Linked DNA regions of Notamacropus eugenii. The protein of the gene in region 2 purifies or fractionates together with the protein of the main gene of each other region. This does not show direct contact. Links are inferred from orthologs where the notes say so. Each region holds a gene or a part of one and is shown on either strand. Other genes may lie near its edges.

What was found. Proteins that work in one complex are often made in the same cells at the same time.
Region 1: the proteins of ASF1B (region 2) and CDIN1 purify together in Homo sapiens (affinity purification with mass spectrometry; 4 studies listed by BioGRID and IntAct, counting the BioPlex papers as one, with this or other methods). This does not show direct contact. The link is inferred for Notamacropus eugenii from reciprocal best matches to the Homo sapiens genes ASF1B and CDIN1.

Annotation. Positions count from the first base shown.
Region 1 is NC_092878.1:21,609,506-21,617,372, reverse strand, and holds the start of CDIN1 (CDAN1-interacting nuclease 1), read right to left. Parts: upstream 3,038-7,867; 5' UTR 2,411-3,037; coding exon 2,310-2,410; intron 1-2,309. UniProt on the Homo sapiens protein: Plays a role in erythroid cell differentiation.
Region 2 is NC_092875.1:76,827,878-76,834,837, reverse strand, and holds the start of ASF1B (histone chaperone ASF1B), read right to left. Parts: upstream 3,094-6,960; 5' UTR 3,083-3,093; coding exon 2,773-3,082; intron 1-2,772. UniProt on the Homo sapiens protein: Histone chaperone that facilitates histone deposition and histone exchange and removal during nucleosome assembly and disassembly. Cooperates with chromatin assembly factor 1 (CAF-1) to promote replication-dependent chromatin assembly.

The DNA.
Region 1 (7,867 bases), on a different chromosome or scaffold from region 2:
TGTCCTGAGTCCTGTATCACATGGTTCACATCATGCTTTAATTTTCATAACTTGAAGATAAATTGCACAAGCATCTTTCATCACTAATCATACTAGTATAATAAGGTCTAGGAAAGGAAAATACTCTCTCCCTCCAATAGCATAATAATGCCTTAAGAAAGAATGGGATGGGGGAAGTGGGTCTGTTTTTTAAAATTAAATCATCAAGCCATTTTTAAAGTATCTACTAAGTGCTAGGAAGTGTGGTTAAAACTTAGGATGCTGATACAAAACATGAAATTCTCTTGCCCTTGAGGATCTTACATTCTAATTAGGGGAATGAAAGGATACAAAATAGATTGATAGGATACAAAATAAACACACAGTGACTGAGGATTAGGAACAACTAGGGGGAAATCAGAAAAGGCTTCCTGAGGGAGCTACTGGTTACAAGAGGCAGAGGGGAGGAGGTACAGAATTCCAGGCATGAGGGGCAGAAAGGCAAGAGACAGAATGTCAAATAGCCAGTTTGATGTTGGGGTTGCGCGGGGGGGGGGGGGGGGATTGTGTGTCTGAGACACTGAGAGACAAAGAAACACAGGATGAAGCCAAATTATGAAGGGCTATCCATGCCAATGGACTTTGTGTTTCAGTATAGAAGGGCTGAGCAGCCTCTAATCTCCCTGACCAGAGGAGCATCATGGTTAGACATGATTTAGGACCATCAATTTGGCAACTGTATGGGGAATGGATTAGAGGGGGAATAGATTGGACATAAGGAGACCAATTAGGAGACTATAACAGTGGTCCAAGGGAGACATGATAAGCCCCTGTAGGATGGTGATTGTAGAATAAAGAGAAGTGGACAGATAGTAGAGATGTTTCAAAGGTAAAGTGGATAAGATTTGGCAACTAGTTGGATAGTGATGGAGGGGGAGTGAGAAAATAAAAAGTTGAGTATGATTTATCTAGAATGCAAACTTGAGTGTCTAAAATATAAAAAACAAAATAAGTTGGTGAGAAAGGGTAGGTACAAGATAAAGGAATACAGATAAATTTTAATTATCTTAGCAACACAAGGAAAAGCAGTAATCTTTATCTAGCAACTAAAGTGACTTGGCTGTACTTGACTTGTCAGGAAGCATGCCTTCTACTGTGAGTTCTACCACTTACTAACCATGAAATCTTGGGTAAATTTGGTCTTAATTTCCCCACTTGTAAAATCAGAGTTGAAGAAGATTATTTTTAGGGTATTACAAACTCTGTTATTCTAATTTCAAGAAACAGTGGCTGGGAAATTAAACGCAGGCAAAATTATTATTTGGTAGGAGGTGGGGAGGAGAGAGAGTCATACAAAAATATAGGAATACAAGATCTGAGATTTCCTCCTAGGCAACACCTGTTGTGGAAATTTCCTTCCTCACCAGATATATCCAATCTATGATTTAGGAGATGTCCGAGAGTTACAGGGACAGAGGTTAAATTACTTGCCCAGGGCCACACAACTAATGTCACAAATGGGACTGGAACCTAGGTCTTCTTGACTCTAAGATCAGCAAGCTACCTACTATGGCAAGCTGTTGCTGCATCTGCTTATTCATATCTACCTTATTAGTAAACTAAAGCTGATATCCTCAGCTCTCAAGTCTATCTGAAGGAATTAAGAGACTATAACCACAAGACAATCTTGGCATGACAGTCCCAGAAAGCCACCAGATTGTATTGAGCACAGAGAGCAAGATACTCTGTGTTGCTAAATCCTAATGCCTGGAATGCACTCTCTCCTTACCTCTCCCTTTTAGAATCTTTTGGTTTCTTTCATTTATCAGCTCCAGAACCAACTTTACCAGAAGTCTTTCAGATTTCCAGCTGCAAATGCCTTCACAGTTACATTGTATCAACTACAGATTCACACGTGTAAAATCTTAGCTAGTTGGTAAACTCCTGGAGGGAGTTTCACTTTTGCTACTGTATCCCTCGAGACCCCCACAACGCCGGGAGTATTGATTGTGTTACTCTCTAATATATTTCAGTGAGTTTCTTGTTGCCTCCAAAATTTCTCTTCTTCATTCATTCATTCATTCATTCATTCATTCATTCATTCATTCGCCAGGAAGGGTTTATTGAGTGGTTACTCTTTTGTAGCCCTGAGGATAGAAAGCGCTTACAGTACTTCGGGGATCTTCAGTGGAAGATAAAGGGTATGGTGACACTGCCAATAATCCCTACCTATAACAACGAATGACCTGGCGTCCCTACGACCCCAGCACTGTCCGTGCCCGCTAGTGCTGTAGCACCTGGAGACCCTGCAGAAAGAGCGGGAGACTTACCTGGGGAACCTCTGTTTCAGCTTCCTCAGGCTCTGCCTGGTAGGTGGCACAGCCACGAGGCACTGAGCTATCTCCTCGTACTGGGCCTTGGTCAATATCATGTTTGGCCCGGGAAGGGGCTGGGGGAGTGAAATGACACCCAGGGGCCGCTGCAGCCCGAAAGGGGCTGGAGACAGCTGGCACCGCGCACCCTGGGGACCCGTCCGCCCTCCGCGCAGCACGCGGCACCGCCGGGGGCGGGGAGGAGGGGCACGCGGCAGCGATCCCCAGGTTCGCCGCGGTGGCGGCCACGGTGGCGGCGGCGGCAGGAGCAGTAGCGCGGGCTTTACGCGGGACTGCCCTCACTTCTGCCCTCTGAGCAGCCGCAGAGCGCGCAAGTGAAGGCCAGTAGGCGCCATGTCAGTTAAGGGAAAAGCAACCAGGAAGTAATGCTGCAAGACGCCTGGCTGCCAGATACTCCAGCACCTCGAAGCCCGCGCTGTTGCCATCTTTCATTCCTGGGCTGGGCTTGGGCGGCTCGGGGAAGTGTCCACTCTGAACCCCGCGCCCAGAACTTCCTTAAGGGGGAAAAAATGCCCAGAAAGTGCCTTGATGGCAGGACAGGATAGTCGGTGCTCAGCCGAGCCCTGGAAAGCGGTTGTTAACGCGTTGGAGTCCGAGTTCGCTTTTGCTCGGGGTGTGCGGGGAGGTGGGGAGCAGGGCTGTGAGGAGGGACTCCCCCCAGAGCCTGGCTGGGAGAGCAGAGCGACGCCTAGAGAAATCCCCAGCACCTGAGGATGGCCCCACAGGTGCCTCGGTTTTAAGGAGCGTTGAGGACCCTACCAACATCGAGCAGCCAGAACGGAGAAACTGACTTTGCATCTTGGAAAATTAGTGTCGAGCCAGTATTAGGAATCTAGGCATCGACCGGGGCTTCTCAGACTAATTTACAAGCCGGCTTTTTCTCAGTCACAGTTTAACAAGTCAACTTTTCTCACTGGCACAGTGACAGGGCTGGATTTGCAGTTAAAAGCCAGGGGGTGAGATCCCACCTGAGGGACCTTCCACGTCACTTCACCTCTCCACCTCAGTTCTCTAGTCTTTAGAATGAGGGATTTGGACTAAAATGACCTCCAAGGTCCCTTCTAGCGCTTTGATCTACGATTTCAAATCTTAGGGAAAATTAAATAGCCCTCTGGACACTGACACTTAACTTTACTGGGAAAGTAGTGGGGGTGGGGGCATTAATTTCGATGGATCTGTTTTTTTTTTTTTCAGAAGTTTTGTTTAATGGAAGAAAGTACTTGAACTTTGGTTGAATGATACTTAAAACAGAAAGCACAGATGTTAGCTTGTCAGGTTCCCTTTAGATTAAGTATTGAGGAAATTTGGGGGACTTTTCAGTTCGTGTTTAAAAGTTTCCTTCTCATTCCCTTTCCTTTTATTTTTTTAATTGTCACAAAATCCAGTAAATAGAGACCGTCCTGTACTCATATAGCTTTCTGCCAAATGTTTACATCAGGATGTTTTTTCCCCCATATGCTTTGTATCCAGGTCTGGCTGTGTGACACCCGTGCATAACTATTTATTTATGGCAGCGGTGCCTGGAGTTGCCACCTGGCTAGTGTGTTGCTGACCCTGCCACTACTTTTACATGAAAGCTATTTGATGCTAAGCAGAAGCTGCTTGTTCCCCTTTTCCTTACCCCTTCACATCTCCTTGTACCCAATTCATAGCAGTAAGATTTTGATAGAAAACATCAGTTTAGGGAGGTTTGTAGTAATTATTTTTTTAAATAGCTTTCACACAGCTCCATCCCCTACACTCAGCTTTACAACACTGAAGGAAAAAAGCCACCTTTAATTTTTGCTAGTCATTTCACTATTTGGTCCCAAATCCTGAAGATTATTTTGGCATTAACCCAGAAGAACACAGACTAAATGACCTAAATGAGTCTCCTTTAAGAATCTGTGATTGAGCAATAAACACTCTTGCACATGCAGGTCCTCTGGTTGGGGGAGAAAATTTTGAGATAATTGGTTACAGAATATTAAAAAAAAACTGTTCAGTGACTTGTAATCTAAAACCACTTGAATACCCAATAAAATATTACTGATGGATAATTTAGAAAGGCAAAGCAAAGCTGTTGATATAATCATCCTTCACAATATTTTATGTTTACAAGTAGAAAGTTTCTTTCAGTGACTCTAAGCGTAAGGTAGAAAGCAACGAAGCCTAAATCTCATTATAAGTAAGCAACCCAAGAAAAGTAAGCTTAGTTTACTATAGAGAAGCCAACAGGAGCTTAGTAACAAATGACAATAATGAAATAACTGAAATTGTTACCTTTTTATACCTAGTTCCTCACACAGTACCTGGCACACCATAGACACCTAATAAATGCTTGTTAAATATAATACTGTGGAGTTCACAAAATGTTTCATTTACCTTTTGATTTGATCCGTACAAGAACTGTGCTAGGTAAGCACCAGACATTATCATCATTTTGCAGACGAGAAAATGGAAACGAATAGGTTAAATGACTCATCCAGGGTCATAAAATTAAAAGCTGTATAGAGAAGTAGGGCAGGGATGAATGGAAAGGGACGGGTTTCAACACAGGGCCATTGACTTATCGTTTTCATCACAAAAAAACAAATTTCCCCATCAACCCAGATCAGCACACATTTTTCATCAGGTATTATTTTTCAGGTTGATAGCTTCCCATTATCCCTCTTACCTGACTCCTCACTATCAGCTTTCTAAGGAACAGGAAAAATTAAAATGATCAAATCAATCAATCAATAAGCATTTACTAAACACATATTCCAGGCATTGTGTGCTAAACTCTAGGGATACAAAGATAAAAGTGAAAGGATCCTTGCCCCTAAAGAGCTTACCTTTTTAAAAAAAAACATTCAATTTTATTTTACTTTCAGTTCTTTGAATTTTCTCCTCTGACATCCATTCCTCCACCATCCACTGAGAAAGCAAGAAAAACAAATTTGTTAAATACATGTAGTTAAGCAAAGCAAATTCTCACCTTAGCCAAGTCTCTCTCTCTCTCTCTCTCTCTTTCTCTCTCTCTCTCTCTGTCTCGCTATCTAGCTATCATCTATCTATCTACCTATCCATCTATCCATCAAACTATAATCTGAATTAATTGTCTCTCTCTGGAAGTAGATAGCATGATTCATCATAAATCCCCTGGAGCTGTGGGTACCATCATGTAGATCAGAGTTCCCAAGACTTTTGAAGTTGTTTAAAAGAAACTATATTCTAATAGGGGAAACAACATGAAATTTAGAAGAATACAAGGTATTTGGGAGGAGGAGTGCTCTTGGAAGTGGGGGATCAGGACATCATGTAAGAGATGTCCCTTGAGCTGAGTCTTGAAGGAAAGCAGTTCCTTGCTTTCTGCTTCAAGAAGCTGAAGTGAGAAGGGAATTTCTTCCTGCCTTGAGGGAGCCAGTGCAAAGATAGGGAGATAGGAGATGCAATGTTGCATGTTCAGAACAACAAATAGATCAGTATGACGATCAAAGAGAGAGCTGGAAGGGGAATTATGAATAAGACTAAAAGCACAGGAAGGGGGAGGTTATGGAGATATGGGAATGTCAGAGTTCATACATGATCCTGAGGGTAATAGCAGAGTCACTTTAATTGATTAGGGGTGGAGGAGGGAGGTTAGTATAATCAAGACCTGCCCTTTAAGAAAATCACAGGTAGCTCTGGAGAATGGATTAGAGTAGGAAACACCTTGAGGCGAGGAAGCCAAATAGGAGGGTATTGCAGTAGTCCAGGCAGAGGTGATGAGGAATGGATTTAGGGAGGTCACTAAATAAGTGGAAAGAATTGCGTGCATGAAAGAGAAGGTGCAGAGATATAAACAAGATTTGGCAATGGATTGGATATTTGTGAGTGAAGAATTAATGATGAGACAACGGTTATGAACCTGGGTGACTACAAAGATGATAATGTCCTTGACAGTAAGAGGGAAATTCAGAAGAGGGGTAGATTTAGGAGTGGGAGGGAGAGGTATTGAATTCGGTTCTAGACGTATTAAGTTTGAGATGCCTCTGGAACATCCCATTAAAAATATTTAACAGGCACTCTATGAGGCAAAAATGGAGCTCAGGAGAAAGATTAGGACTGTATATGGAGGTCATCTGCATAGAGATGTTAATTGAACCCACGGGAACTGATAAGATCATCAAAGGAGAAGAGTCTAGAAAGAGAAGAGAACCCAGAATAAAACCTCTGGGAACTCCCACAGTTAATGAACGGAGATGGTTCAGCAAATCAGCAAAAGTTCGAGATTGGACAGGAAGGAAGGGAACCAGCAGAGTACAGAGTCACAGTAACTCAGAAAGAAGAGAATTCATGGGAGGAAAGTATGACTGACAATGTCAAAAGCTGCAGAGAAGTCACAGAGGATGAAAAGTGAGAATAAGCCATTAGATCTGGTCCCCCAGAGATCAATAGTAGCTGAAGAGAGAAGTTTCATTTGAGTGATGAGGTCAGAAACCAGATTTCAGGAATTCAAGAAAAGTATGTAGAGGAATTGCATGTAGACATCTTTTCTGAAGCCCAAAGCAAAACCAATTTTCATTAATCAGTTCAGTTGAACCATTTATTCCTTGATGAATCTGGATTATTTTATTTTCTTTTATTTTCCTCTTACTCCTGGTCCTCATAGTCACTTTTCTGTTCCTATTACATATGTACCTGTCTTCATCATCATTATTATTATAATTACATGGGAAGTACTGTAGTAGAAACTCTAGAGTCAGAGGTCCTGGGTGTGAATCCTGACTTTGTTACTTTACTACCATTGACCGTTAGCAAGTTATTTAATCTCCATGGCTTCAATGAAAGGGAGGAGAAAGATGACTGTAGTTAGTACTGTTAGTAAATTGTAGTCAGTGTTTTTAAAGATAAGGAAGACTTTAGAGGGAAAACAAAAGTGCACATGACACAGTATGTCTCTGATTTGATTAGAACCCCAGAGGTAGTAAACCATTTTAACAGTGTAGGCTAGAAAATAAAGTGACATAATTGTTGGATGAACCGAATCATTTAATCTTATGGTTGGAAGGAATCATAGACAATATCAAGTCCGGACCTCTCATTTTACAGATGAGAGACTAAAGCCCAGGAAAGTGAAATGACTTGCCCATACACAGCTAGTTAGCAAGAGATCCAGGACTGAACCCAGAGTCTTGGAATGACTTGGAAAGACAGGCAAAAAAAAAGTCTGGGACTAGAAAACAGTATGATTTTTTGTAACACAGTGTTCCTATTAAATTGGAAAGTCTGCCCTCTCTACTTAATATCTGTCACAAGAATATTTAAGAATAAATAAGGTAGCATATGGGAAGCAGTTTGAGAATTTCAGATTCATTACTGGAATTAACATAGTTATTTTCTTTGATCTGCTCCTGCTACTGAATTATTCCTAAAAATAAACTACTCACCTAACTCTTTCAATGTGCCTAAGTTCATACTATATAAAGTATATTTTCATTATTAATTAGAAGCTAAGACTAATAGGAATTCAACACTACCCGTAAAATGGG
Region 2 (6,960 bases):
TCACAGGATTTACACTTAAACCCCAGTTTTCTAATATACATTAACAGTACCTCCTTTCACCCAATGGTACATTCAAGAGAAATGAGCCATAACTGTTCAATAGGTCAGTTATCTCCTGTGAATGACAGTGCCAACCAAAGCAAGTATCTTGAGTTCCAAGTATACTCAGGGCAAAGTTATAGCAATGCAGAAGGATTTGGCAACTAACCTGAAAATGTTTTAGACATCTTAAAATCACAACCCTAAGCTCAAGATGCCTGGGAAAATTTTCAGGCGCCATGATTCCACAGAATGTGATTACTTTGGGACAAGATACTTGGTACAGTACCCTTTTAAGGAAGGAGTTCTGATCTTAGGTAAATGCATCCTGGATAATTTCTTGCTAAGGTTTTCCTATAACACCAGGTTCCTCATTTCTACAGCAACTATGTGCTTTTCTACCTTTTCAATTTAACTGGAGTCTAGAGCAGAGGTTCTTAATTTTTTGTGTCATGGACACCTCAGAATAATGTTTGAAAATACATAAAATGCTTAGTATTATAAAGGAAACTGGCTTTATTGAAATAGTCATCAAAATTAAAAACAAAAACCCAAGTTCATGGACCTGTGTCTTGAGGTAGCCGTCTCAGTTTATGAACTGAGTTACATCCAGTTTAAAAAAAAAAACCACAAAACAGCGCTAAACTTTAGGAGTATCTGAGTATAGTAGATCTATTTCTAAACACCTGGGTTCCACAACTTGTGGCCTATAATTTTTGTATTTTCAGGAGAATCCTGGACCAAAGGATAAAGTAAACTGCTCGATTTCTAAAATGAGCTGTTTTAGTTGTTTTTAGTTGCTTTATGGAATGTTGACAGGATTAAGTGAGAGGTGAAAAATGGTTTGTGTCAGGGAAAAAGAGGATCAGTTAACAGTTTGTTATATGGCTTCTTAGGTCTTAAAACTGGCAAGCTGTGATTTCTTAAGCCCTTTAAGCAATAGTATGCCCTCTCTCTAGTCTCTAGAATTTTGTGCAAAAGGTAGCAAAAAAGTGTAATTCAACAGGAAAATGCAAATTTCCCAGGTAATCAAATCACTAACAGATTCAGTTATGGAATTATCAAGTTCTAGTTCTCAACCTAAAAAAATCAGGCTTCCTAAACCATAAATTTTATGCCATACTTTTAAAAGAGAAGAATGGTAATAGTGTTCCAACTTCAGGAATATGACAAGAATGAAGAACACTTAGTCAGCAGCTGGGAGATCCAAATTCTAGTAATTACTATTCCACCTCACCATATGACTTTAAGCAAATTAACTAAGAATTTAGTCTCTTCAAACTGTAAACTATAAACATAATAAAGGCTAAGGCCTATATGAATAGTGTGTGGCCCTTGAAGTAAGTTAATCCAAGTGGCAAAGATGCTCTTATTAGTGGCTAAACCCCCTGGATTTTAAATTCTGTCTTTCTATATTCTGCCTTATTAAATTCTGCTATCCCCACAGGCAAAGGGATAGTCTAGTAAGAGTAAAATGGAAGTTAAGAGTATTTGAGTCTATTCCTAATTCACAGAGATTCACTGAGTAACCCTGACCATTTTGTTAGTACAATATGTAGAACACCTTTTCTCAAAGGAGAGAACCTTACTTTTTCTGTCTCAGCCTTCTCATCTGGAAAATGAAAATGGTGTTGGCTTTAATATTCTTCAGTTAAATGAGACCATCTTTAAAAGTACTTTCATGAGGGGGATGCAAAATTACAACCTACCAAGTACTTATTTTAAATGATACCTATCTTCCCAAAACCATATAGCCCCCTCTCCTAAAAGCACATTTTTGGAGATATATAACATTCTTTGCAAACTTCTAAAGCACCATATAAATGAAATGTTTAAATATTATTGCTACTCTCAAATAACAGACTCTCAACTCATGGAACTTTCTACTACTTTAGTAGCAGAGCAGTAGAAATGGCCTTTTAGGAACAAGCCAGGTAACAGCTAGCCCCTGGATACAGGGCAGGGGTCCACACTAATTCAGGCAGTTCTAGAAAAGTGTAGGGTAGGAAAGATTAAAGAATTGTCCAAGCACTGGGGCATTTAGGAACCACTTTCTAGCAAGAAAGATCAGGCGTAGTTGGGGGTAGACTGGAGACGTCATCCAGGAAGAAGCCATCTCGGATTTCATTAAAACCCTTCTTCTAATAGGTGGAAAAGGGCCACAGAAATGAATGAGGGAAGAGTAACAGGGATAACCTCCCGGAGGCTGGAAGCAGTACCAGGCAGAAGAGTGGATATCCAGGCTTACTTGAGAGCGCTGCTGACACAAAATCCTTTGCAGTAATATTAAGTCCAGAACCTCAGAGATGGACGGGGCCTCAGTGGCCCCGAGCGCTCGCTTCTCTATGGCTCATTTTAAAGCTTCCAAGGAGCCTGGTGGGCGCTATCATCATCTCAAAAGCACAGAGGAGAAATCGCAGGCTCCGAGGGTTAAAATGCCATGCCTAGGGTAACACAAACATTGAACTAAGCGCCGACCACCCAGGCCGGGGAGCGGGGAGGCAAATATCCAAGAGAGACAGGCCCCTTGCCCTCAGCGCGTTTATATTCTACTAGACCAAGAACAGAACACTTTATTAAGGTGCAGGCGGATACCAGAGGGAAGCTTTAGCATCCCACCGGGGCGGGGCGGGAGCCCGATTCGTGGGAGTCAGCATAAAGGAGTCCCCTCCGTCAGGAACGCGCGGGGGGAGACTGGGAGATCCCGAGGGGAAGGGGAGGGCCGGGGCTCACCGTCGGCCAAGGCCTCGCTGCACTCGAAGCTGATCTCGAACTGGAAGGGGCTGTGGAAAGGGCTCGGGTTCTCCAGCACCGACACGTTCAGAACCGAAACTTTGGCCATGGCCTCGCGGGGGCAGGAACGAAGCACACCCTCCAAGCAGCAGCCGCCGCCGCCGCCGCCGCCGCCGCCGCCGCCGCCGCCGCCGCCGCCGCCGCCGCCGCCGCCGCCGCCGCCGCCGCCGCCGCCGCCGCCGCCGCCGCCGCCTCCGCTCTCCCTCTCGCGTCCCCTCCGCGCGGTTTCCACACCAGAATGAGGCGGCATTCCCCGCCCCTCCCCCACTTCACCCGCCCCGCGCCCCCTTCAAATAGCCGGACCCGCCCCCCGGCCAATCCGCTCCAACGCTTTCCTCAGCGCGAGCTTCTAGGGGCCAATACGCAGTCGCCCGTCGAAGTGCGTTCAGCTTCTTCCCAGCCAATCGGCTGCCCTCCCTCGCCGGCACGCGCGCGCCCGATTCTGCGCGGATAGACGGGTGTGTGTGGCGGGAGGTGTGTGGGGGGTGTTAAGGCGCTCATCATCCCTCTTTTGGCGCCCCAGCGTGACTGCTCTCTCTTCTTGATGCCAGCCAATCCCCGGCGCCTCCGCCTCAGCAGTGGACTCGTTGTGGCAGAGCGCAGAGTGAGCGCGGGGATCCCTGGGACCAATTGGCGTTGAGGGGACGGCCTTCGGGACGCGCGCTCGTCCCCGCCTCTTTTTTCCTTCCGTTTGCGCTCCTTTTCCCTTCGGTGTACGGAGGGGGCGGGGGAGAGGAAGCAGAGCCGCTAACTGCCGAATGGGGGCGCGAGGCGCTAGCGGAACACTACGGGTTCCCGTAGTGATTGACAGAGGGGGGAGGAGAAAGAAGAGTTGTGCCCAAAGGGGATTGGTCAAGCCGGTCTTGAGGGGGCGGGAGCAGGCGGAAGGTGAACCCGTAGTGTGCTGAAGCGGCGGTTACACTCAAGCACCGTCTTCGGTCGCGCCTGACGTTCTCCGCCCCTTGTGAGCGTCGTGGGCGGTTGGGCGGAGAGGCGGATAAGCCCAGCCTTCTGCCCGGGGAGCCTCCGGGGCCTGCAGCCGGTAGTCGTGTTCGCTCTACCTCCGGCTCACTCCGTGCCGCAGCCGGGGTCGGCCCGCGGAAACGTCCGATAGCCGCCGTGTCTGGAGCCGCTGAGACCTCAGAGATGGTTTAGTCCCACCCCTTGTGTTTACAGCCGAGGCCCAAGGTCACACGGACTGTTCTGGACGGAGGCTGGATCCCAGCCCAGGCCCATCGCGTCACGCAGGAAGCAAGTGCAGTAGCGGCAGTTGGAGCCCAGGCAGTGACCGCAGAGCTCCTTTCACCGAGTTCTACCAGCATTTCGAATTTTAGGCCTGTTTAACTTACGCAAAGGATGCCTTGTAGGTATCTGCCTCCACCGGTCCAGAACTTCTCTTGTAACTTTCCCTTGGAATCACACGTGGGAGTCTTCAACGAGTCGGTCTGTCTTCCCTTCCATGGTCAGTCAGCTGTCAACTCTCCAGATCCGGCCAAATCTCCATTCTGGCATCTGCCTCCCATCAGTCTCCTTCACAAAGGCCACTTCCCTAGTAGAGAAGCTCATTACCTCTGGCCTGGACTCCTGCTGTAGCTTCCTCATTGGTCTCCCAGTCACGAGTCTCTTCCCCTCTCCAGTCATCTACCACACAGATTCAAATGTGATTTTTCTCCCCTCAATATGACCTTACATAGGTTCCCCCCAAACTTGGAGTGCTTTCGTCCCTCACTTCCATCTTTTATGTCCCTTCCTTTAAGGCTTAACTCCTGTGTCATCTCCTGGAAGAGGCCAATCTTTATGTGTGCCCCTCTCCATCCCCCACTTTGCTAATCCTTTCCCTCCATTAGTGTATGTTTTGTATTTATTCGTGTATGAGTTGTCTCTCCCCAAAAGATTGAAAACTCTTTGAAAGCAGTGAATCTTTGTTTCCTTAAAGTCAACTAATATTTAAGCCCCTGCTATGTGCCAGATACCTCGGTAAGCTCCACAGTCACTCTGCTGAGAGCCCCTGGCAGAATCCCCAGCTCATAGTAGGCTAAGGATACTGACATTTAGTGCCTAGAGCTCAGAACCTAGCACAGTGTCTGACACATAGTAGGCGCTTAGCAGATACTTGTTGAATGGATGGAATGGTATAGACTGAGTCAGTAAGAATTCAGTTCTAATCCTGTCTCTGACATAGGTTGTGAGACAGTGGGCATATCATTTAACATCTTAGACCCTCACTTTCCTCATCTGTAATATGCAGTAATAGTACTTAGCTCACTTCTTCACAGGACAGTTGTGCCTTGTGTACATTGTGTGTTTGTCCTTCATTCTCAAAGAGGACCATGACATCAAGATGATGACATGACTTGCAGTTGACTTTGATTTGAGTGAGGGAGGGCTGTGCAAGGTCATCAGCCTCACTTTCTTCTCCAGAGCCATCTGACTCCAGTGGCCTGATATTCATCAGGATGACTGGAGATGGCTCAGGATGCAATGGGAGACCCTGGTCATAATTGATGCTTAATAAATTATTGCATGAAGGAATGTCTCAAGTGATAATGTGTGTAAAGTACTCTTCTGACTTTAAAGCACCATACAGATCTTGGCTAACATGACCTAAAGTATGAAAGGTACCTGAAATTGAAGATGAAAATTTGAAGATGAAAAATATTTGAAGTACTTTAAATATTGAAGTACATATAAGTACTGTACTGGGATACCAAGTTTAAAAATACCAGTCTCTATCCACATCCAGAGAACAATGGAATCAGAATGCAGATTGAAGCATACTAGTGTCTCTCTCCTTTTGTTTTTTCTTTCTCCTGGTTTTTCCCTTTGGTTCTAATTCTTCTTTACACTCTGACCAATGTGGAAATATATTTAATATGATTGTACATGTATACCTTATATCAGATTGCAGGTTATCTTGGGGAGGAGGGTGAGGGGGAGAAAATTTAGAACTCAAAATCTTATAAAAGTGAATGTTGAAAACTAAAAGTAAATTTAAAAAAATATATATTTAAAAATATTGGTCTCTGCCTTCAAAGAACTTAGGTCTACTTGGAAGTGAGGATAGGGTAGACTAGAAAGCGTAATGCAAAGTAGAATGTAATGGGGCAAAGGAAGGTTCAAAGTACTCTAGGAATATTTGAAAGGAAGGAGATACTCAATTGGAAAGATCTGATGTTCCAACCTCCTCATTTGAATATTGGGGGCCTGAGAGAGGAAATATAAGTGGTAGAATTGGGACAATAATTGCTTACAATTTTAAAGAAATTTAAACTTTATAAATCATTAAACTTTATAATTACACAACTATTTGTCTACTGCAAATTTATGTTCTACAACCTCAACTGGGCCCTCACTGCTGCTAGGCAATCTTTCTATACCTCCCTTATCAAGTCTTTATCCTACTCCACAGTTTCTCTTCCAAAGCTCCCTCCTCAAACATTCCATGGCTCCTCCTTCCCCACCCCTCTCAGTTGAGATCCTTGCCTCATATTTTACAGAAAAAAATTAAGACCATTTTCCCTAAGTTCCTTCTCCCTTTTTCCTCACCTCCCATCATTCAGATAGTTCTGCCACTATCTCCTTCACCTGTCAGATCCTAAGGGGATCCGACTCCTTACCAAGGCCAGCCCCTCTGCCTGAACAGGTGATACTATTCCATCCCCCACCTCTGTGAGTGGTCCCCACTCACTCATCTTTTTTTTAATTAGAAAATTTTATATTGCACAATCTATTTCCATAGTACTCATATTATTTTTTAAAGCAAGAAAAATAAAAGAGAATATTCATTAGTTCTCTTTCTGGAGGTGGATAGTATTTTTTAATCTTGAATCCTTTAGAATTATCTTAGATCATTGTATTGATCAGAGTAGCCAAGTCTTTCACAGTTATAACTTTGTTACTGTGCACAATGATTTCCTTGTTCTTCTCACTTCCCTTTACATCATATTTTTTCTGAAACCACCCCCTTTCATTATTTCCTAAAGCACAATAGTATTCCATCACAATCTTATATTACTTGTTCAGCTGTACCCCAATTGATAGGCATCCCAATTTCCAGTTCTTTGCCACCACAAAAAGCTGCTTTATTTTTGTACGCATAGGTCCTTTTCCTTTTCCTTTGATCTCTTT